Linked DNA regions of Arabidopsis thaliana. The protein of the gene in region 3 interacts with the protein of the main gene of each other region in a pairwise test. Each region holds a gene or a part of one and is shown on either strand. Other genes may lie near its edges.

Region 1 (5,555 bases), on a different chromosome or scaffold from region 3:
TTTTAAAAGAAGTAGAACATCAGATATGTGGGATTACTTTACACTAGAAGATGAGAATAACCTCGTGATTTTCCCGCCAAAAAAACGTAACCTCGTGATTTTCCCGCCAAAAAAACATGACCCCGTGATTTTCCCGTCACAAAACGTAACCTCGTAATTTTACCGTCTAAAAATGTAAACTCGTAAAAATTTCTGAATCAATAAATATCTCAAATTTAATAATAATGAATTAATGATGATGATAATTATTTATTATTGTTTTATAATAATAATTAATTAAATTATTATTTAAATGGTTAACCCATTTAACAACTCAACCCATCAAATGAAATGAGTTATGGGTTAGACCCAACTCATTTAACAAAATGAGTTGGGTCAACCCATAACTCATTTAATCATAAACTCATTTGATTATGAGTTGGGTTGGGTTGGGTTACCCATTTTGACACCCCTAGTAACAACAGAATGAATTTTGTTTATAGAGACAAAAAAACATGAAGTAATGAACATTAAAAAAAATCTTAGTAATATAATGGGTTCTCTAATATAATCTAACCTTCGAGTGAGAAAAAAATGAACATAAAAAAAAGAAACAAGAACAATAAAAAGAGTGGGAGACAAGAGGGTGATAAATGGTATAGCTACGGGACGGTGACGTATGATGTGAAAGAAAGGAAGAGCGCGGGTGATGATGGAATTAGGTGACAGGCATGTGAACAACAGTGAAGCTGCAAAGCCTGATTTGGTTGTTTCCCTTCTCTTTAAGCGTGCTTCCAACGTGTCTCTTTGATCATGACCTTCTTCTTCAAATATACAACTCTTCACTTCTATTTTCATTTGCTCTCATTTTCACATTGATTGTGTTCTTAGAATTTTGTTCCTCGTGCAATCTCCTCACTAGTTTAACTAAATAATTATACATTGATTTTTGTTGTGAGTCTACTTAAATTATGGTATCTATTATTGTACATTTCATAACTATACCACACCAAAAGTAGAGCATATTAAGCAGCCGGCAAAACAAAGTTCAATTGCTGCTTTCTTGTCTCTCTCGTATCATCACTCTCCTTTGCTAATTGCTCTCAGCCCATAATTATAAACGAGTAGAAGAATATTTAACACTCTTTTTCGTAAATTTTCATTTTTTACCACTTGTTAAATGCTCTGTCTTACTTTTTTTTTATCCATTGTAATTTTCATTGGCGGTATGCATATTTTTAGACAGACAAAATTTAAACCGATACGTGGTCCCATAACTATTGAAACTCTGATTATAATGGAAAACATATTAAATTTATAGGTATTTTAGACCACTCAGCCTCTTAAATATTGGATGGTCCCATTTCTATCTAAATCATTTTAACAACAACAAAAGAAAATATACCATAAAACAATCTGATTTGATTTTACTTATTGCTAAAACCATATAATAATTTTAATAAAATATAATAAACACACGCATGTTATTTGTGGACCTACAAAATAAAATAAAAAGAATAACAGAGACAAAAAAAAGTCATTTCAAATATATAAATCAAATTAAAATTAATAATATTTTCATGTTTTTTTAAGCTTCCTTACAAAACAGAAACCTGAAACCATGTTACCTATAACAACGACATGTATTTATTATTATTTCTCCATTAGATCTAACGACTCAGAATCACTCTCACTTACTCATTCTCAACCGTCAGATCTAACTACAGTACTCCACACCACATACGAACAAACCTAATCTATCCTTAATACCCTTACTTTTGTAGTTTATTACTAAATTTACCACTCCTTCCATGTTTTTGTTTCTCTCTTCTTCTTGATTGTTGCGCTTTTGTTAGCTTTCTCTGGTTCATTTTCCATGGACGGACCTTGACCTCTCTGCTTCCCTTCGTGCATTTTCTCTCTCTCACTATCCTCTCTCTTTCTAGTGTTTGTTTGATCCTCTGCGTACTCTGTTCTTCTTCTCTCTTCAGGTACTAGTTTCAATTTCTCTAAAAGGAACTATTGAAACCTCCTTCTCTAGTTTCAATTTTCAATCTGGGTTTGTTTGTTTGGTTCTTGTAGCTTCTTTGGATTCATTATCATTTGGGTTTAGTTTATTTTTCTCGTAAGTAAGTGATTTAGTTGTGATTCTGAATTTTAGGGAAATGCTGAAGAAGTTAGAGTAAGAAATTTTTGGTTTTTGAATGGAAAGTGATTGATTTTGGGGAAGATGAGTTCTGGGAACGATAAGGTTGAATTCTGGCTATGAAACCTAGGTTAAAGTTTCTAACTTTATCTTACTTGTTAAGCAAATCTAACCCAATTCTCATCTGAAACCCTAATTTTTCTGGGTTCTTCTTAAAATTGAGAATTTTGTTCATGCATCTATAGAAAGTGAAGATTTTTATGTAATTAGATTGATTTTGGGTTGTTCTTCTTGTTGTTGTGATGCTAAGCAGATAAAACAAGTCCTGCATATTGAAGATCTGATGTCTTATCGATTGCTAAGTGTGGATAAGGATGAACTGGTTACGTCACCTTGTTTGAAAGAACGTAACTACTTGGGTCTCTCTGATTGTTCCTCTGTTGATAGCTCAACTATTCCCAATGTTGTTGGGAAGAGCAATCTCAATTTCAAAGCTACTGAACTGAGGCTAGGTCTTCCTGAGTCTCAATCTCCTGAGAGAGAGACTGATTTCGGTTTGCTGAGTCCGAGAACACCCGATGAGAAGCTTCTCTTCCCGTTGCTACCTTCTAAAGACAATGGTTCTGCTACTACAGGGCATAAGAATGTTGTTTCTGGTAACAAGAGAGGATTTGCTGACACTTGGGATGAGTTTTCGGGTGTGAAAGGATCTGTTAGACCTGGAGGAGGAATCAACATGATGTTGTCGCCGAAAGTTAAGGATGTCTCGAAGAGTATTCAAGAAGAAAGATCTCATGCTAAGGGTGGCTTGAACAATGCACCAGCTGCCAAGTGTGTATTATATGATGATTTGTTTATGAGTTTGTTTATGAGTTTGTTTATGAGTCAAGAACGAATCTTGTGGTAATCTGTGTCTATTGTTTTGCAGGGCACAGGTTGTTGGTTGGCCTCCAATCAGATCATACCGGAAGAATACAATGGCTTCTTCTACTTCGAAGAACACTGATGAGGTTGATGGGAAACCTGGTCTTGGTGTTCTGTTTGTGAAGGTGAGCATGGATGGTGCTCCGTATCTGAGAAAGGTCGACTTGAGAACTTACACTTCCTATCAACAGTTGTCTTCTGCACTTGAGAAAATGTTCAGCTGCTTCACCCTTGGTGAGAATTTACTATGTATTTAAGCTAATCATTGATTCTACTGTAAAACAGAATGAACCAAAGAACAGTGATTTCGATTCTTGTTTGTGATCTCAGGTCAATGTGGTCTTCATGGTGCTCAAGGGAGGGAAAGAATGAGCGAGATTAAACTGAAGGATCTTCTTCATGGATCAGAATTTGTGCTTACTTATGAAGATAAAGACGGTGATTGGATGCTTGTTGGCGATGTTCCATGGGAGTAAGCTTCTTTTGGAACTCTCAGCTTTAATAACTGTGGTTTTGTTTCCGTTCAAAAGTTGAATCCTTGTTAAAACCTATTTGCAGGATATTTACTGAAACATGCCAGAAACTGAAGATCATGAAGGGTTCTGATTCTATTGGCTTAGGTAAGTTTTCCAACATCTTTCCCCCTAATCTGAATACAAACTCAATGGCTCATTTCATTGTTGATTTATTCTGTGGCAGCTCCAGGTGCAGTGGAGAAATCGAAGAACAAAGAGCGGGTTTGAAACGAAGATGCTCAAGACAAAAAAAAAACACTATGCACAGTTCCAATGTTTAAGTTTTATTTACTGATGTGTTTGAAAACTCTTTAGTCTTTTTACTAATTTGTGTTGTAAGACTTTGGATTCTCTTATTTGTGTGTGCTTGTTCAAAACAAATACATTCTTATGTGTGTGTTTCTACTTTGACCTTCAAGATATTTCGTCTCTACGCAAAATCTTGATTTGTTTATTGTTAGCACTTAGTACCAAAGTCTATAAGTGATAATTACGATAAAGAACCTTTAACCACACAAAGTGGAATCTCAAATGATGGTTATTATCTTTAAAACATGAAAGTGTGTAAATCTGGATAAGCTTTAGACTAATCGCAATAGTGTCTTCTACAATATTCTTACAGATTAAATACTAGAAGAACAAAAAAAAAATGTAACTACATATATATATTTTTTTTGTTTTCGATTTTTTTGTAACATACATATAATAACGTATAAAGAAGACTGGTGAGTAGGAAGAGTAGATAAATAAACCTCACCTTACCGAAATAGAGGGCATATCAAATACATGTGGAGCAAGAGTGGATGAGATAGAGAGAAAGGAGAACATTTATGTAGTGAGCAAAATAGAGTTTGACAAATTTATAGTCTCATACTTCTAATAGAGGTAGATGCTAACATAGCTACCCAAACGAAGGAAAGATAATAAAAGAATGTGACGCATAAAAATTTGAATTTTAGCAAACTTCTTTTGAGAATTGTGAGCTCTGTTAACTCGTATTTGTAAATTTTTTTTTTACTAACATCTAATTTTATTTATCTTTGAGCTCCAAATTTATCCACACTATTTTATTTTATAGTAAAGTTTCATAAACTAAAACCAAGATTTATTTTTGTATTTGCAATTTATGTGTTTTATTTTTCTGATATATAAAATACAATACATGTATTGCTACAAAATATATATAGTTCTCACTTTATATGAAGTTAATTTTTTTTCTTAAATGTTAGTATTCATATTCTAATTCCCTCTTCCCTACATCTAAAAGAGTATTAATTTTCTTTAGATATTCGACATCAGCTGTCAAATTAGTCTTATCAAATGGGACTCAGTGATTTGCACAAATGTAGCACTTCTAAATGAGTTTGTGGTTAGTGCACTTCATCGTTGACTTTATTTTCAAATTTGATTGTTTTGCTATTCGTAAGAACAATTATATCAGTCACAGTCATATGTCTTGTTAATGCTTTTCTTTCATATGAACCACTAATTCTTTTTTTCATTGATCAAATTAATTTTAGAGAAGCTTATGATATTTGACTTTGGTAATAATACCAATACTCAAAGAGAGTAGCGAGGCCTAAACGTTAACATATTATTTATTCATTTTTATTTTATTTTTCATAATTTTATATCAAAACATTGGTTATAAAATATATAAAGTTATAAATGTCATCTATTTGAATTTATTATATATATTCACACTTGGTTTATATGAAAACTAGAATAGTTCAGTCCTAAAAACATTTTAACAAAAAAAAACTAAATTTTTTGAAAATAGTTAATTCATAATTTACAATTTTAGTAATCAAGTATTTTTTATTTTATTTTTGATTAATGTTTTTGACTTACTGAAAATTATGTTTTGTATAAAACAAATCAGACACTTAAGCGGCTAATTTTACTTAAAATTGGGCATTCGAAGGTTCATGAACTCCTAAGCGGGTGTCTAGTCGCCGCCTAAACCGATTTATTGAACATTGAATGCTACA
Region 2 (8,770 bases), on a different chromosome or scaffold from region 3:
TCTTTGTGGGGTCTCTCTCTCTCTCTCTCTCTCTCTCTCTCTCTCTCTCTTTTTTTGTGTGTGTTATTTTTTTTTTCAGGTGGCTGCTTCTTCACTACTGTGAGTAATGTACTTTGCTATTTTTTCACTTTAGTTTTTAAAAAAAAAAAATATTTTAGAACTTGAGTGTAATAATTTCGATATTTATAAATAGAAATGATGACATATATTTTTATTTATAAATTTATTATTTTTTTCCACATTTATAAATTATATTTAAAATAAAAAAATTTGAGTTAGTTGGGTTCAAATATGTGTCACAGCGTTAGAAAAGATTGAACGGTTACACAACCTGAATTAATTCAAGGATCGTATTTTGCTCTACTTTTGTGTATTTTACTTACCTTAGGATAAAAAGTTTTAAATCTAGTTGAGGTAGAGATTGGACGAATTTGGAATGTCAACTTCTACTTCTCTACTAGGCTTATGATGTTTGACAATTTTATTTTTATTGTTTTCTGCGAATTGCTTGGATAATGTAGCATAAGATATTTAGCCTTTGTAATATTGAGAATATACTGATGAATCTAATGACTAGATTATATAAATTACAAGAGTTAGATGATTATGAAAGTTTAAGCAGTTTTGAGAATTGGGAAGGAGTAGGAGTATTTTATATCTTATAGTATTGTATAAAGGTTTGAGTAGGTATATATTATCGATTGAGAAACTAAAGATAACTTAAATTAATGATTCATTCAACCACTCAACTGTTACAAAAAATAAGTTCATGTTTAAGAAAAAAGTACATTTATTTTAGACCAAAAAAAAAAAAGTACATTTATTTTAGTTTTTCCAAGTTAGACGTGTTTGTAAATTGTAAACAAACACAAACGTAACCGTGCTTTTTACTTCTCCTTATGTTTCACATTTCCGTTTTCTATATATAATATCGAGTTTTTCTTTTTTTTTGAGTTGAAAGTTAAATTTATTCAAACCCAAAAAAACTATTTTTACAATAAATGTTACAGTGATGCTGAAACAAATAATTTTGAAAGAGAGGCAGAGTCATTCAAGAAAGATGCGGTTATATTAGAAGTTCAATAAGTAACCCAGAACAAAGACAATTTAAGCCTAAGCAGATAATAAACTCATCCTTAATCCTAAGTTTTAACGTACGAGTACTTTCAATGTGCATGCTTAGAGTTTTGTATTCATCTTAAACCAACTTAATGTATGCAGTGTCATTATAAGATATTCGTAAAGAGACCTTAAAAACAAGCGTTTGGCTGATTATAAGAAATTATTATTCAACAATGTAGTTGGTCTAGAGAAATTACTTACATCTCTCTTTCACTCTAAACACTAGAGATCAAAACAACGAAGTAAAGAAGTAGGATCATTAGACAAAGATTGGAAATATCACAAGTCTCTTTGCTTTTGACATAAACAAACCCAATTTAAAAAAAAAACCAACTTATTAATGTAACATTAAAAAAAAAAAAAAAATTAGACCCAAAAAAAGTCCTGAGCTCTCTGCTATTTCTTCTTTTTTCCTTTTCTTTTCAGACGAACATAGAAATATTTCTACTTCCAAATCTTTACGGATTTGTCATGACTTGCAGACGCAACCACTCCCGTCGAAGGCGACTGAGCCAAGGCAGAGATCACACACTCGTGGCCTGCTACCGTCATACATTTGTTCTCCATTGTGTTCCACAGCTCTATAGCCTGTCACAGATTCGTTTACCAAAGTTAAAACAACTGAGAGACACATTCACCTCATCACACATTTGAACATAAGACTAGATATTGTTTGACACATTATTTGTTTGAGAAATGGGGATATAGGTTATACCTGATAGCCACCGATGACCAAGAGATCGGGATAGCTAGGGTGAAAAACAACAGAGTGGAACTTGTTTCCACTGTTGCTAAGCTCGTGGATGCAATCTCCTGAACTCAGTGACCATAATTTTACAGCGTCTTCACTAACAGACGCCACCAACTCTCCGTTTGGGCTCCAACAAACAGAATGTACATTTGAGGAATGTCCCTGCCAGATCAAAAGTAAATAAAGCCATGAGTAACGATCAACACTTACGACATCTAAACATATGCCCCAATGCATCTAACAAGAAAAATGCACTGGACTTTGAAGATTCAAAGTATTAAAAGTAAAAAACAAAGCTTTTAGTCTTTTATGTGGATTGACCCGGGGAATTCAAAAATATCAATATATCATCTTCAGCTCTACCTTAAAAATGTTGACCCGTTTGTTATTATTTTCAATATCAAAAATTGACACAGTATTTTCTGACGCTGCAGCTAAAAACTGTCCTGTTCTTGGCTGGAAACGTACTTGCGTGCTAGCCCCCTGTGCTTGGAAAATTCAACGATTAGCAAACAGAGTTCACATCCCAGAGAAACCATACAAAAGGTCAGGGGCTTGCCTTTACAGCACGAACGCAAGAGGCGTTTATGTCCCAAAAGCGAATATCATTGTTGCTATCACAGGAGCATAAAAGCTCGGTTTTCTTAGGATGAAAATCAATGGACATAACAGGTGCAGCATGACCAGAAATTGTTCGTAGGAAGTAACCAGGCTGCACAAATTGGTAGTAGTTAGTCACAGCAGAACACGAAAAATTGCAACAAATAAAAGAGAAACAAATTAAATTAGTATACATCAGAAGCATCCCAGATTTTGATTGTTTTGTCGAATGATGACGTTGCCAGTTGAGTTGAATTCGGTCTGAAGCGAACATCTGTGATGATATGAGCATGTTCTTCCGGAGTGCTCTCAACTTGTAGTGTTTCCATGTTCCATATAAATACCTACTGACAAAAATAAATTTGCATCCACATTATCTGTTTTTAAACAAACAAAATGTTACCTACCTATAAATGATCTATAGCTGTTTTAGGGCCATGACAAGTTTATAAGCAAACCGTATCTCAGAAATTAAGAAGTTGCACCTTCTTATCATGTCCAGCGCTAGCCAACAACTTCCCATCATATGAGAAGCTACAGCAAATGACCTTACTGGCACTTTTTCTTATACAACTAACCTCATTGAAACTGAAAGCTGAAACGAGAAAAAGGACCGTGTTAGTATATATTTATATCGTCTACTTGTATCATACTTATCCTTGGGGTGTTAGAATACGCTTTGAGGTTTCGGTATGCACAGAAGAGTTCCGCTTTAGGGTGCCAAACAAGCTTCCTCCGTCTCCATCATCTTGGGACAAAAATGATTCTACATTATCTTCTAGAGCTCCCACATCTCCAAACTGGTCCATGTCATCCTGCAGCTATTAATTCTTGTCATAAGAAAGCTGAAAGAAACACGGCCCCATGGGATATAAAAAAAATATTCAAGCTGCTAAGAAAGCACTTGTTTCACACAACACAACTGCATGCTGTATCCAGATGTTATTGGAGGAAAACTAGATTGTCGTTATCATTCTTCTGAGAAATTAAGAAACATACCAGTTGATTTGCTGATGATGCAAGACCACCGATCCCATCAGAACCATACATCATTGGCCCTTTTGGCATGCTATTCACATGGTGCATGTTACCAGCTATAGCAACTCCATCAACAGGGGTATGCGTTGACGGAGTCGATGGCTGTGAGTTGGATGGGCCAACAGTGTTTCCTGTCCCTGTGCTGTTAGCAGGACCAGAAGAGGAAGGCCCTTTTCTTTTGCGGTTGTTCTATCAGATACACGAAAAGGAAGTTGTGGCTCAATCATCTCAGACACTAAAGAATATATTCAGTTGGTTAAAACCACATGCTTGATAAGACTTGAGGGATTGGATCCACATAAAAGTACCTGTTGTGATTGCTGGGATAGTAAGTGATCTTGTTGCTGAGAAGAAGATTGCTGTACTGGCGGCATGCTGATATGCTATAGACCAACAAGCAACGGAAAGAGAGAAAATCAGAAGAAAAAAATGTGATTGATAAAATTTTAGCAGTAAAGTCCCCATGTTTGGTAGTAATCAGCTACTAATTGCGGATAAGTTTTCTCTATTATTGGGTTCATGTGGTTAACAAGAAAAAACAAAATTCTGATACCTATGTAGATCTACATTAGGATAACACAAACACATTACCTTACACATTTTCCAAATGGAAAGTATAGCAGTCAGACGATAACCCAAAAGAGTACAATTTTAAAGCATAGACGAGCAATTATCAGAAAAAATGCATAGAAGGACAGACGTAATGATCCAATTACACCACTTAACGGAACACAGAAAAAATGAGATGCTTCATTTTTTCTCTGCTACCCGAAAAAGATGATATAATGCAGCTCAACAGATTCCACTGCATCCAACAGGGATATGCATTTATTGGTAATTTGAGAAAGTCTTACCTTTGACGAACTTGACTGCATGGGGGACCCTATAGATCCATCATTTGCATTTTGTTGGCCATCTTTCGGATTAAGGTTTCCTCTAGGTAATCCTGTAAATCTTCGAGGGTCCATGTCACCACCATACATGGGTGAATTAGTCATATTTCCTTGCGCTTGAACCTGAGCCAACATCTGATGTTGTTGCTGCTGCGGCGAGAGCTGAAATTGACTTTGATTTTGTAGAAAAGATTTCTGAACCTGAGGGCCTCCTAAACCTGGTCGCATCTGCTCGATGCCCTGTAACATTTGTCAAGAAACTTAGCAAAATACTGGGCTTGGAATGACAAACAAATAAATTCTTAGAAGAACCACAGAGACTTACAGTTAATGGCCATCCCTTTAAAGGAAGACCACTCACTCCAGGGTTTAATCCTTCACAAGGGACAAACACAACACCATAAGAATTTATACAAATTGTAAGCAAAAGATTCTCGTGATGCCATTAGCATATCACCCTATGTAATTCATCATGATTTTGCACATAACAGGGAAGTAATATTTAAATTTTGGAGTCCATAGTCAACTAATTGCCATAGAAGGCATACTACCACGTATTTTACCACCATTTTCTTTTCGGTGAGCGATTACTCTACAATGCAATACATTGATATATTTACCTGCACTCCCCATCCCAGGCTTTGATTGCAGAATTCCCTGGCCATAAACTGTAGAAGGATCCACTGGCAGTTGTCTTGGAGATGTACCCAAATTAACTTCAGTTTTGATTTCCTGCACGTACAAGAGATTCAGATGTACACCAAAATATCTGATTGGAGACTTGTCTGTTAGAAAATTTGAACAGTATAAAGTAAGGTGCTCGAGTAGTAGTTACAGTGGGCTGCTGAGTTCGTGATTGAATTTGCTGCAGCGCTGCCGAAACACCTCCTTGATGGTTTCCTTGGACAATCTGACTGTTTAGGGACAGAAAAAAAAAGAAAGGACAACAAGGGGTCAGAGGTATGAGGACTAGAAAAACGACAGCAAAAAAGAAGCTGAGCCAATTTACCCATGATGGTTTGTTGCTGATTTAAGAAGGGCCATCCTTGCATCAAGATGAGGTTGGGATGTCTCAGAATTCATAGGATTAGGCTGCTTCATGCGTTCCTCGTACATTTTAGCAGCCAAAGCACTAGCATTAGACTGCCCAATCATCCCTTCAGAACCAATAGCATTCATTGGACCGCCAAGAGAAGGATGATTAGGGTCCCTACGCTGCATTTGAGCTTGGCGCATCATCTGCAGTTGCTGTATTTGCATTTGCTGCTCCTTCGCTTTACCTTGTTGTGCCTAAAATTTCAAAACCACTGGTCAGTTACGTAATTCAAAACTAACAAAACATATTCCCAGATGTTAGTAGAAGACATTCACCTCTATATAAGCTGCAGCAGCCTCTGAATGCTTCTCATTCGTCCTTGCAATGAAAATGTCCCAAAACACAGACCACCACTCAAAAAGAAACCCTCCAGGTGCATCAATTGCTAATCATTCACACAACAAAAAACAATTACATATCAAAACTTAAAATTAAGAAAGAACAAAGTGGAACAAAGAAAGTGTAATATTACCAACTGGATCAGGAGAAACCTTCCCTTCAGTCATAAACGACTTAGCAGTATTATGAAGTTTCTTCTTCACCAAATAATCATATATGTAAACATCAAGCCTACAAAAACACAAAGATATCAAAGTAAGGAATTGAAAAAAAATAAGCTTTTATTGAATACAAAATTAACTTACATCTTGTCAGCTTCCCAATTACTCTGAGCCATAGCTTCAGCCCAAGATCGAGCTGCTATAAAAGGAATTCAAATCTTCAATCCAAAGAAATGATATGAACTCAGAATAATTCGATTGTTTTAATAAACAGACACTAACCTGAATAAAAGCCCAAACAAATAAATATCAAGTAGATCAGAACCCTAATTCGATCTTCAGATATCAGTAAATTTAAAGATCAAGCATTGCTGCTACACATACAGAGAAAATATAAAGAAATCGACAAGGTTAAATTGCTTATACGCGAACATGACTTTTGGAATTCGTTGAATTGATATAGAAAGTAATCGAATTCACATACCTGACGGATCACAATTGAAAAGGAAAAAAAAGAATCTAGGGTTCTTGAGAGATTACAGTGAATTGTAATCAGCTGTAAGTTAAGAGTAAATCGATCATGAAACAGCTGGAAGAGAGAGATAGATCAGATTGATGAGTTTGGAGAGATCATCGGATGTTTGGTTTGATGCTTAGCTTTAGGATTCGATGAAAAAGTTTATTCATGGGCTTCGATATTTGGACCTAGTTATGGGCTTACTTTTGGGCCTGTGATTGACTTTTAATCTAAAGTCAACTCGAAGGTAGGCCGAAATTTCTCTTGAATCGTTAGAGCAGCCAATTCATGGTTTCTAAACAGAGTGAAAAAATTTATTATAAAAAAAAGTGTAGGTTTTTTTATTAGTAAAGAAATTATTTTCAAAGTACGCAATGCTATGTCAAGATAAATGGTTCATACTTCATGTAGCTACACTCAATAATACATTGGAAAAAATGTCAAAAAAATTGCCAACTTTGAAAAATGGGATGAAAAATCACCAACTCCTGAAATGTCGTTTTAATCACATACTTTTGATTGAGTTCTTTAGAAAGATAACAGAGCAAAGTTTTGTTGATTACGAATCTTTGCTTTATTATCTTTCTGGAAAAGTCAACCAAAAGTATATGATTTAAATGACATTTCAGGAGTTGGCGATTTTTTTGTCCCATTTTTAAAAGTTGGCGATTTTTTTAACATTTTTCCCATAATACATTCATTATTCTACCGTATTTAATCTTCTAGTTATAGCTTACGAATGGTTCAAAATGAAAACTTGCGTCAAATACTAGTTCTTTCTTTTTGGGCAAACTCGTGAAATATGTTTGTATTTTGAGGGTGAGATTTGACCTTATAAACTGATCACTGCATATGTTTTATGAAACTAATTCAAATTCTAAATAGAAAATAAGAACTAATTAAAATCCTTTAACTAGAGGTCTGTAACCAAAAGATTGCATGCATATTCTCAATAGAACCAATCTAATTTTTTTACAAAAAAAAAATGCATAGGATATTCATTTGGCACTTAATTTGAAGTTTTAGTACTTTATGATGTGAAATGAACAATCCACACTTGTAGTGTTATGAAGTATTAAACGTATTTCTTAAATTTCTTACTAACAAGTTAGCCCTAGATTAACTAGTTAAATATTCTTGTTAAGCCTCGTTTTTTTTTCAAATCACTAGTTGACTTTAAAATTTAAGTCCCAACCATTATTCTAACAACAAACAGTCCAAATTAAATAAAAGATTACATTCACAGCTCAAACCAGTCAACCTCAAATTTTTAATAATCTAAATCTATGTGGGTGATGCATGTATAATGTATAAGCCTATCTGTTTTTCTTTATTTGTTAGTTTGGAAAATGAAAGGTTTAATATGTGTTTGGTTTGAGCCATTAATGACATAATAAATGAGATCACTTTTTTTTCACTAAATGAGATCACATTTAGGGCTTGAATAATGCAAAAGAGCCCTCATATTATTAATGGCTTTGTAGTAGACATGTCCTTCAACTATAAAAGGAAAAATAAAACAGCCACGATTATAAACTTTTGTTTTTTTGATAACGACACAATTTATTCATTTATGGTACGTCTTTTATGAAAATACACTAAAAGAGAAACACACTGTTCTTTTTGCTATAAATCCATGGAAGGTTGATTTATGAGGAATCATATACATATGGTGAACTGATGATTGCATTCTACGAATATGATCAGTCTGGTTTTTAGAACATGAACCAATTATTATTATTTGACAAAGTACATGAACCAATTGTAGTATATATTTTCATCAATTTCAGGTTTTTTCACCATCGGCGCCCACTAGAATCGTTTGCTCATTTTCTTAATCGGAAATAAGATATACATTTCATTTCATGTGCATATATATATACATCGATATTATTTATTTATTGAATTCATCAAATGTACATTGATTTCATTTTTATTGTTATGTTGGATGAGATCAACTGGGCAGTTGGCAGACATAAATAAATTGTCCTATGACAGGTGAACCTCATTTAATTTAGTTTACTCAACCAATTTATTTTTTTCGCCTTCTTACAAGTTAATACGTCCGGTTTAATCAATTCCGGTTTCCCACTTTTCCTCACGGTTACGCCTTAACCAAGCATTTCAACCTCTGAAATAGAATAATTTGAGTATATATGAACAAATCAACAAACTAAACTAAACCGGAATTGATAAGAAACCTAGAAAAAGAAGAAGCAAAACCGGTTATGTATGTAACGTACTCACGAGTGG
Region 3 (5,354 bases):
AACCAATTAATGTTTATTCCCTTAATGTATTGGTGATGATAAAAAGAGCAAGTAGACTACTAAGTTCTTACCAACCAATAACCGAAGGTACCAAACGATTCGAAATTAAAAAGAACGAATAATACTGATGAAAACTGTTGAATTAAACAATGTCATAGAATATAGTCACTTAATTATGACTATTTCTCTTTCAAGGCACTAATCATCCTTGTAAATCATCATACTTTCCAACAAGTATTAGTAAACAAAACCTACTAAACTAAAATAGAACCTTAATTTTAATTATCATTGTTTAGACATTTTTACATACATGTTTTGAGGAAAAGTCTCCTAACTATCATAATGATCAAGTCTAGTCTACTATTAATAGCAAAGAAATTAAAGAAACTATCAAAAATATTTGGACCTAGACATCAACATCTAACAGTATAACCTAATCAATCAAAGTAACAATCTTGGTTCGAAATGAGGATATGCATTATGTGAAAAGGGTCATTGTAGAACTATGAAAAATGGTTATGCATATGGGGAAGCTTAAAAATGTTTTATGATTGCATGTATCTTTCTTAAAGCTCATACCGAAAGAGCTCCACATCTAATAATGGTCGTAACCACACAGTATTTTATTTATTCTCCATCTATCGCCTTTTGAACATGTCTAAAACACAAGTATATAATAAAAATGCGTATTACAACACAAAAATATATAATACTAATATCGCTAATAAGAATATAGAATGATATTATTATATATTCTTGTTGGGTTATTTTGACGACAGTTCTTAAGTCAACTTAATTATTTTTGCAAAAGACATTTTTGCACGTTAGTTGTAATTTTTTTTCGCAACTAAAAATATATGCAAATATTTTACATAAAACATCTTTTGCTTTGTTTTGTCAATCTCTTATGCTTACACTACTTGATAGTCATTTCTTTGAGGAAGAGCGCCAATCCTACAAAAAAAGTAAGAAATATTTATTGTTACAAAGGTGATTCGAATTCGAGTGATAATTTCACAACGACGCTTACAAGAATAGCTAGATTTCATGTATTTTCCGATTACCAATTTTTTTTTGTATCAACAACAACATGCATATGAGTTTGAACTTCGACGGTGTCACATCAGCTCTTGCACACTAGCACAAATCACTAAATTACGTTTTTAGTCAATTAAAAATAATAAAACATATACAAATATGACCACAATCATAATACTACAATTGAATGGCGATGATATAAATTCAATTTTTGTATTAGTAATACGGTTTGAAAATCTACATTCGAAATGTGAAACGTACAATGCCATCATTATGCAAAAAAAAAAACAACTTTCAAACATTATTCTATATGAAATGGAGGAATTGGTAAAAATAGAATTCATTACATCACCTAAAGATTAATCACCCGATAATATAAAAACAGAAAACTAAACAAGATTTCCCTGAAATTTATAGTTTAATATATTTTCTTATGAACATAATGAATTTCTTTATTTATTCTCATTTATGAAGATGATATAAAAGTTTGAACAATAATCACAACACAACACATAAAAAGTAAATCTCCTAATCACCAAAAACTATAAAAATGAAATGTATGTTTTTGTAGTTGAAAAAAGGGTGGTGGTTGGCTTTAGAAATTGGACTTTTAACCTAAATGTTTCTCTACAATACAACTTCCAAATCATAACCGTTATTTAATATTACACCTAGTCTTCATCAAATAATCAAAATCACAAAATAATCAAATATCAAAAACAAGTTGTTATAGTTTTTAATCAAAATAATTATGACATAGCATAGATTATAGAATATCTCGTTCAAATAATGATGTCAGGTTTACATCAATCAAACTGAATTTTCTCGAGAAGCATATTTTGAAAATTAAAATTTATTCGCAGAAAAAGAAGAGAAAGGAATCTACTATTATTTACTGTATATTATATAAAGAGGAAAATAAAATAGGTAAATAAATTTCCTTTTATAATTGCTTTAGATTGCGGTTGTACCACGGCTCTGCTCTTGCTTTTAAGAACTTGCCGGTACTAAATTTCATATACTCCAATTAAAAGCTAGCTCGAAACCCCAAATGTTATTTTATTTTTCTATATAATAATAATCATACATTATAAAAAAAAATCATATCATTATTTAAAAATAGAATTTTATTTTTCTTTCTTCTTCTTCAATTATTATGACACTCCCGTGTTCCTAATCTTTTCTCTTATTCTTCTCTTTCTTCTCATCTTACAAAATCTTGCAAATCAATTTTAATGAAGAGAGAGCACAACCACCGTGAATCATCCGCCGGAGAAGGTGGGAGTTCATCAATGACGACGGTGATTAAAGAAGAAGCTGCCGGAGTTGACGAGCTTTTGGTTGTTTTAGGTTACAAAGTTCGATCATCCGACATGGCTGACGTGGCACACAAGCTTGAACAGTTAGAGATGGTTCTTGGTGATGGAATCTCGAATCTTTCTGATGAAACTGTTCATTACAATCCTTCTGATCTCTCTGGTTGGGTCGAAAGCATGCTCTCGGATCTTGACCCGACCCGGATTCAAGAAAAGCCTGACTCAGAGTACGATCTTAGAGCTATTCCTGGCTCTGCAGTGTATCCACGTGACGAGCACGTGACTCGTCGGAGCAAGAGGACGAGAATTGAATCGGAGTTATCCTCTACGCGCTCTGTGGTGGTTTTGGATTCTCAAGAAACTGGAGTGCGTTTAGTCCACGCGCTATTAGCTTGTGCTGAAGCTGTTCAACAGAACAATTTGAAGTTAGCCGACGCGCTCGTGAAGCACGTGGGGTTACTCGCGTCCTCTCAAGCTGGTGCTATGAGGAAAGTCGCGACTTACTTCGCTGAAGGGCTTGCGAGAAGGATTTACCGTATTTACCCTCGAGACGATGTCGCGTTGTCTTCGTTTTCGGACACTCTTCAGATTCATTTCTATGAGTCTTGTCCGTATCTCAAGTTTGCGCATTTTACGGCGAATCAAGCGATACTTGAGGTTTTTGCTACGGCGGAGAAGGTTCATGTTATTGATTTAGGACTTAACCATGGTTTACAATGGCCGGCTTTGATTCAAGCTCTTGCTTTACGTCCTAATGGTCCACCGGATTTTCGGTTAACCGGGATCGGTTATTCGTTAACCGATATTCAAGAAGTTGGTTGGAAACTTGGTCAGCTTGCGAGTACTATTGGTGTCAATTTCGAATTCAAGAGCATTGCTTTAAACAATTTGTCTGATCTTAAACCGGAAATGCTAGACATTAGACCCGGTTTAGAATCAGTGGCGGTTAACTCGGTCTTCGAGCTTCATCGCCTCTTAGCTCATCCCGGTTCCATCGATAAGTTTTTATCGACAATCAAATCAATCCGACCGGATATAATGACTGTGGTCGAGCAAGAAGCAAACCATAACGGTACCGTATTTCTCGATCGGTTCACGGAATCGCTACATTACTATTCGAGCTTATTCGACTCGCTCGAGGGCCCGCCAAGCCAAGACCGAGTGATGTCGGAGTTATTCCTAGGACGGCAGATACTAAACCTTGTGGCATGCGAAGGAGAAGACCGGGTAGAGAGGCATGAGACTTTAAATCAGTGGAGAAACCGGTTCGGTTTAGGAGGATTTAAACCGGTTAGTATCGGTTCGAACGCGTATAAGCAAGCAAGCATGTTGTTGGCACTTTATGCCGGGGCTGATGGGTATAATGTGGAAGAGAATGAAGGTTGTTTGTTGCTTGGATGGCAAACGCGACCGCTTATTGCAACATCTGCGTGGCGAATCAATCGTGTGGAATAAAAATAAATAATGGGAAAAGTGAAAATGTGCTATATACTTTATTGCATTGCTGATAAAGAAAAAAAGTCCCACGTTTTCCAAATTTTATGAATTCTAAATTTTGTTCACTTGTCACGAGATTTTGACCTCGCATAAATAGACTATTACGTCAGGGTCAGGCCAATGAAATGATTTTTTATCACTTGTTCTCATTAAGGTAAAAAAGGTCTTTTCTATTTCATCTTTGGTTTTCGATAAAATTAAAATTGAATAAGAGATGAAATAATGATATATATAAGGTGATAGTCTGATAGATATGGATAAATGTTTCATGACACGAACCAGTAGTCAAGTTCTTTTGAGAATAATCCTAAGACCATGGACTTTAAATAGATTGGTTAAAGGGTCATTATCTCTTTAATTAAGGAGGACAGTGGTGTGTTTAAAATGTATTTGTGCTCTTTTGACGTTGATTTAATTAGTACCCACCGCCAAATAATATATGAGCATTCCTGTTATCGCATGTTGACATCATTTTAAGAAAATGATTTTCGTAGGTAACATTTTGTTGGTAATCAATTTAACAACTACCAATTTTATTACTTTTAGAAGAAATATGCATGAGCTGACATAATTATACTGTACATAAGTTCATAAGTTTCTGTCGGTAGAGAGGTTTGTTCATCAGGAATTCGTAATGACGCAAAACATAAATTTGTCTTTAGAAACTTTATATGAATATATAAATTTGGGAAACTATTATAAATCCTCATAAATTTTAACAAATTTTCAAATACTTTTACCTTTCTAAAACTTTTATATGTTGTTTCTTATAACTTACTTACACAATTTTGTAACAATTTTCCAAGTATAACCAGAATTGTTTTGGTAATAAAACCTTCCTCAGAATATGTTCTTGGAAACGAGATTTTAATTTGATGGGCATCATCATTCTTCGACACTACAACCATTTTAAAATTTTGTTTTACTCGTTGAAAGTATTTTCTTTTCAATAATGGTGCATTCTAGGTTTGATTAAATTGTGAAGTCCAAACCCAAGCCCAATAAGGGAAGTTTGAGGCCTAACCCAACTCCTAATATAAGTTTCTCGTGTGTGTAATTCTATGATATTACCTTTTTACGATAATTTAATTAGTCATTTTAAAAATCTTTTAATGAACTAATGACGCGTCGAAGCCGCGATTAAAAGCTGCAAAAGTACATGCATGAAGTCAATGTATAACGCTTTCTATGGTATTGACCTTGGCAAGTTTAAATTTTTTAGGCTCATATTTCGGACCATTTAAGGAAAGCAATATCTAGAAATGGAATGTAATTACAAATGTTCTTAAACACGACACCAGTCATTTAGGAAAGAAACACGAGACTTTTTCTCTTTGGTTTTGACTGATTTTTGAGGTCCTTAAAATTAATACCGAAACCACTTCAGAGGTTAAGATGTCACTTCATCATTAATTGTCCTACACACCAAATTTTCTATTGATATAAAATTTTTGCATGTGAAGAAAAAGCCCAAAAATTTACTCGGATTTTAAAGCAGATTCC
Region 4 (4,461 bases), on a different chromosome or scaffold from region 3:
TTCTTGAAAGATGGGAATTTATCGAGAGGCGAAGAAATCGGTAAGGTTTTTGTAGAACAGAGAACATGTAAGCTACTTCCATCTAGACGAAGATTCAACAACATTTTTCAACTGCAACGAGCATTAGTTTATTCACTAGAGAAAAGGAAAAGAATTTGCACCGCCAATTGCGACGAAGGTGGTATATACTTCTCCGGCGAACGTGATTCTCTGTAAAATTCTGACGAGATTTTTTTCTGGCGTTGTTGCTAATGGATAAAATTGCGCGCGCAAAGGTCCTTTGTCCGATTGGAAAGAGAATACATTTGAGGATTAAATTGATAATTTCGTAATAGTTTAAGCCCTTAAAGGAAATAAAAAGCTGTAAACTCCTGAAGTTTTATTTATTTATAGAAAACAACTCTTTATATATTTGATTTCCAAATAATCCCAAAACCTTGATCATATGCACATAAGAACCCTATTAGAAGAGAAATGATTTTTTATTACTTGGTTCACATAATGAAAAAAACATACTTGAAAACTAGTCATTGGCGTTCGGTATTTTGGTTCAGTTCCGGTTCGAGAACTTCCCATGAGCCCTTTTGTAGTCTAAAAATCTATAATCTTAAATTGTGTTTTATTAATATTATTATGTTTTTATGTAATATTAATAACCTTTACCCTAGAAAAACTAATATTATTTTCTCAGTTTTATTATATTAAATTGTGTTTTTCAATTTCATATGTTATCAGACTTATATTATTATGTAATATTTTTTTACAATTGGTTGAATTGTTTAGGTTAGATATTAATTTCTGTTTTTAATATAACAAAATTATTACATAATAATTCTTGCAGTTTAGCTAAAACATCTAATAAGCTGAAGAGACAGAGTCATTTACAATTCATCAAAAAGAAAAATTGTTTTTGAAATCTTTTGATCGACAAGGCCTATCTATAGAATTGTGGATGTGTTTTGGGAAGGCATTATAGAAAATTTGTCTCATGTGGTGGTAAATGTTTTGCTGAATAAGTAAATAATAACCTTGGTTAAACTTTAAACAAAAAAAAAAGTTAATAAATAACCTTGGCTAAACAAATGTGTATAAGTTTCTGAAATTTAAAATATTATGTTCGTGATCAAGAACAGAAAACTGATGATCTTATAGGACATAACTACTTAATACATTATACATCTATAGATTGTGTATGTGTCCGTATTATACATAAAATCTCATGTATCTTTACATCAAACTTCAAATCTAAATACAAAAACAAAAAGAACATCACTAGAGATGGATCTCTCGTCGGACAAAACCCCGAAGTTTCGTCTTTCACGGTCAACTTTAGTCAAACTCCGATCCGAATCAAACCAAAAAGGGTTTTTCATTCATCGATCATAGTCATCATCTCCTTTTTAGACAAAAGATTCTCAGCTTCTCTGGATCATAAGGAAGAGTCTAGAGCAGGAGCGTCGGATCCCTTCATGATTCTGAGTCTCTTACAAGAAGAAGAGAACATGTCCCATGGAACATCACCAACCAACATCCAGTCACCATCTTTATCTTCGTATGTTGGTACAAATCCAGATCCTTTGTATCCTTCTCTCTCACAATATTCACCAATCATGACTTTGAACATATTCTCTAACGCTTTGAGAAGCTCGGGGTAGTTTTTGTATGTCTTGAGATCGATCTTGCGAAGGTAAGGAGCTCCGTCCATACTCACTTTCACGTAGCTCACACTGTTGTTGTTCTTACGGGAAGATCTCACTGGTGGCCAACCAACGATTTGAGTTCTGTAAATTTGAGGAAAGAAAGATTAGTAAAACTATTCAAGAGCCAATAATTTGAAAGAAGCCAATTTGAAACTCAGATCTCTTCTACTTACTTGGTAGGAGGTGTAGATTCTTCTTCATCACGAGTTTCCTCAAATAGACGCTTGTTGTTACTTTTAACGCAAGAAACCTCTTGTTCTTCTTTGATCTTCTCTGTTCTTCCGGGTAATCCAAGACATAGCTCTGTGTCCTTAAGGTTAAGCTCGTTGACTTTCTCGTACGCCATTGCTTTTGGATCAATATCAATCTTTGTGTTTCCTTCTTGTGTGTTTTCTTGGGTACTTTGTTCTTCTTGTCTTGTTCTTCTTCTTCTTGTTCTTGTTCTTGGTGAGCTGGTTGATGAGTTTTGGAGAAAAGGGGAGAGAGATATATATAAAGGAGCATCGAAGTTAGGGTTAAAGGAAGAGAGAGAAGTGTTGTCGGAAGCATGAAAGGCAAGAAAGAGGCAAGGGGACAAAAGTGGGACACGAAGCTTGAGGCCGCCCATGTGGACACGACTCTTTTGTTTAATTATTCCACGCTCCTCTTTTCCCTCCGCCAACTTTGTTTACGTTAACATCTTAGCCGTCCATCTCTATTGCCTCTTCTTTTTCTTTCAAAGGATGTATAATAATTATAACGAAAGAATATAAAAATGAATGAAATGATGAGAATTCTATCGGCCGACCCGGAATAAAAGCAAACAGAGAAAATATAAATAAAGTAAAGACTAAAGAGGTGTATTATAATAACATTTATTTACTGTTTCTTAAAGGTTTCTTCTTCTCTTTTTGAAAGTGTATAGTGCAGGTTATAAAGAAAATATCAAGTGCTAATGATTGTTAATCCATTTGTTGCATAATAGATATTCTTAATATATATTTAAATATAATGTGTTGTCTTAAAATTTGATGTGAAAGTTGATTATTATTTTTAGTTTACTTCTATTGATTTATTAATTTTTAACTTAAAAGATTAATAGATGTTTTGAAAGTATGATGTAAAAATTTCGATTCAGAAGAAAAAACGTATGGTGTAAAAAATGGTTAAAAGGACACTTATGTCAAATAAAGTACTATTTTATTGAATCCTGATTCCAAAATGAAGATTATTTAGAGTTTCCAAGTACTCTTATGTGTTACGAACTATTGAATGTGCATAAGTTGAATTTTATCATTTTTGCTCGTAGATGTAATTTGATTAATAAAGAAATATTAGTTTTATGGTTAAATCTCAGATAATATCGAATATTAAACGTTACATATTTGTCTTGCGAAGACATATTTATGCGTGGCATTTTGTATATTGTGAGTTGGAAAATGTTATAACATTTTGTGTGTAGATTTTGATTTTATAATAGGAGACGAAGACCCATGTGGATAAGGGTCAAATGTGTTGGTAATTGATAGAGGAATGGTAAAGCCATGTGCTTTCTTATGTGTATGTCTCTTTTAATTATTCATTTCCCTTCAAAATGGGTTGTGGGGGAGAGAGGTTCCACGTGCTATGTATTCATTGAATCATAAAACTTAAAAGAATGAACCAAAAAGTGGTAATTAATTTCTCCCCATAGATTACGCTTAACTATGTGCATTTAGCTTCTAATCCGCATGCGATTTGATGTTAACGTTAGGCTTTATTCAATGGATTTACCAATTTTGGATATTATTTGTTTTCTCTTCTTTTAAGATAAAGATTCCTTCTATGTTCTTGCCCCTTCCATCACCAAAAGATTAGATAAGTAAAAGCGATGCAAGATACGTTGCCTCTCTTCTTATAAGTAAATAATTTAGAGGTTCTGATTGTCAGAGTTTTATGTATTATTTCCAGTTAATAACGAACTCATGCAATGTATTTTCTCACAAACTGAGAGATGCACGAATGAATACCATTTGTCTGTTAAATATTGCACGAATGAATACTAAAGGTTAACCATTTACAGATTTCTAGAATCACTTAACATGGTGGGAAACAAACTTCTTGAGAATAGTTTTTTCCTGTTTGTGTGTTCATGCATGTTTTAGTCTTAGTGAAAATGTATTATAGAAACATAACTACTAGATCTATGTGATGCTTTATGCTTATATAGATGATTGCTAAAGTTATTTGTTGGTTAAACTAAACCTTTTTACTGAAAACCATTTAAGAAAGTACAAGAGAATTCAGTTACTGTTTATTATGGAGTTAATTCCATGAATATATATTGAACATTAAGTTTTGCCTAAAAAACAATATTGAACTTAAGCCAAATACATAAATCATTTTTAGATTATTTTGGTCTCTGTGGTCAATTTAATGTATTAATTTATGTACTGAATCAACAGTTGTTTGTTCTTTTATGTTAATATTTGATATTTTTTACTCTACAAGGACTACAGATTCTGATGACAATTTTAACGTACATATCTTGAAGAGGTACGTGAATAACTATATGAACTAGCTAATAGATTCTTAATTTTTTTTGGTTAGAAATATTAACCGTGTTTTAATTATCATGGTAAAAATGTTAATTATTTTCTACTTTAATTTCTCGTTTATTCAAAAAAAAAAAGTATGTCATATATGAACAATTTTGAAATTTAAATATAGTATGTTTTACTTGATTATAGTTTCATACCAAAACATTAAAATATTTTTGAGAATTTTAATTTAATATCTGTAA

Evidence for each region.
Region 1: the proteins of RGL1 (region 3) and IAA8 interact in binary tests that used the Arabidopsis thaliana proteins (3 or more experiments, as listed by UniProt).
Region 2: the proteins of RGL1 (region 3) and LUH interact in binary tests that used the Arabidopsis thaliana proteins (3 or more experiments, as listed by UniProt).
Region 4: the proteins of RGL1 (region 3) and IAA2 interact in binary tests that used the Arabidopsis thaliana proteins (3 or more experiments, as listed by UniProt).

What each region holds. Positions count from the first base shown.
Region 1 is NC_003071.7:9,634,668-9,640,222, forward strand, and holds IAA8 (indoleacetic acid-induced protein 8), read left to right. Parts: upstream 1-1,712; 5' UTR 1,713-1,970; exon of another isoform or gene 1,971-2,140; 5' UTR 2,141-2,209; coding exon 2,210-2,230; exon of another isoform or gene 2,231-2,438; coding exon 2,439-2,956; intron 2,957-3,053; coding exon 3,054-3,283; intron 3,284-3,379; coding exon 3,380-3,521; intron 3,522-3,607; coding exon 3,608-3,669; intron 3,670-3,748; coding exon 3,749-3,792; 3' UTR 3,793-4,078; downstream 4,079-5,555. UniProt on the Arabidopsis thaliana protein: Aux/IAA proteins are short-lived transcriptional factors that function as repressors of early auxin response genes at low auxin concentrations.
Region 2 is NC_003071.7:13,864,641-13,873,410, reverse strand, and holds LUH (LEUNIG-like protein), read right to left. Parts: upstream 6,640-8,770; 5' UTR 6,485-6,639; exon of another isoform or gene 6,372-6,484; 5' UTR 6,283-6,371; intron 6,200-6,282; 5' UTR 6,177-6,199; coding exon 6,145-6,176; intron 6,071-6,144; coding exon 5,973-6,070; intron 5,886-5,972; coding exon 5,776-5,885; intron 5,695-5,775; coding exon 5,414-5,694; intron 5,319-5,413; coding exon 5,240-5,318; intron 5,137-5,239; coding exon 4,968-5,136; intron 4,780-4,967; coding exon 4,730-4,779; intron 4,645-4,729; coding exon 4,366-4,644; intron 3,895-4,365; coding exon 3,820-3,894; intron 3,701-3,819; coding exon 3,473-3,700; intron 3,295-3,472; coding exon 3,150-3,294; intron 3,069-3,149; coding exon 2,959-3,068; intron 2,818-2,958; coding exon 2,668-2,817; intron 2,586-2,667; coding exon 2,433-2,585; intron 2,357-2,432; coding exon 2,237-2,356; intron 2,036-2,236; coding exon 1,838-2,035; intron 1,711-1,837; coding exon 1,567-1,710; 3' UTR 1,254-1,566; and 1 more. UniProt on the Arabidopsis thaliana protein: Transcription repressor subunit of the SEU-SLK1 and SEU-SLK2 transcriptional corepressor of abiotic stress (e.g. salt and osmotic stress) response genes, by means of an epigenetic process involving histone modification (e.g.
Region 3 is NC_003070.9:24,746,054-24,751,407, forward strand, and holds RGL1 (RGA-like 1), read left to right. Parts: upstream 1-2,051; 5' UTR 2,052-2,273; coding exon 2,274-3,809; 3' UTR 3,810-4,133; downstream 4,134-5,354. UniProt on the Arabidopsis thaliana protein: Probable transcriptional regulator that acts as a repressor of the gibberellin (GA) signaling pathway. No effect of the BOI proteins on its stability.
Region 4 is NC_003074.8:8,179,640-8,184,100, forward strand, and holds IAA2 (indole-3-acetic acid inducible 2), read right to left. Parts: upstream 2,457-4,461; 5' UTR 2,308-2,456; coding exon 1,874-2,307; intron 1,782-1,873; coding exon 1,430-1,781; 3' UTR 1,007-1,429; downstream 1-1,006. Other genes in the region: AT3G23020 (Tetratricopeptide repeat (TPR)-like superfamily protein), read right to left, coding at 1-104. UniProt on the Arabidopsis thaliana protein: Aux/IAA proteins are short-lived transcriptional factors that function as repressors of early auxin response genes at low auxin concentrations.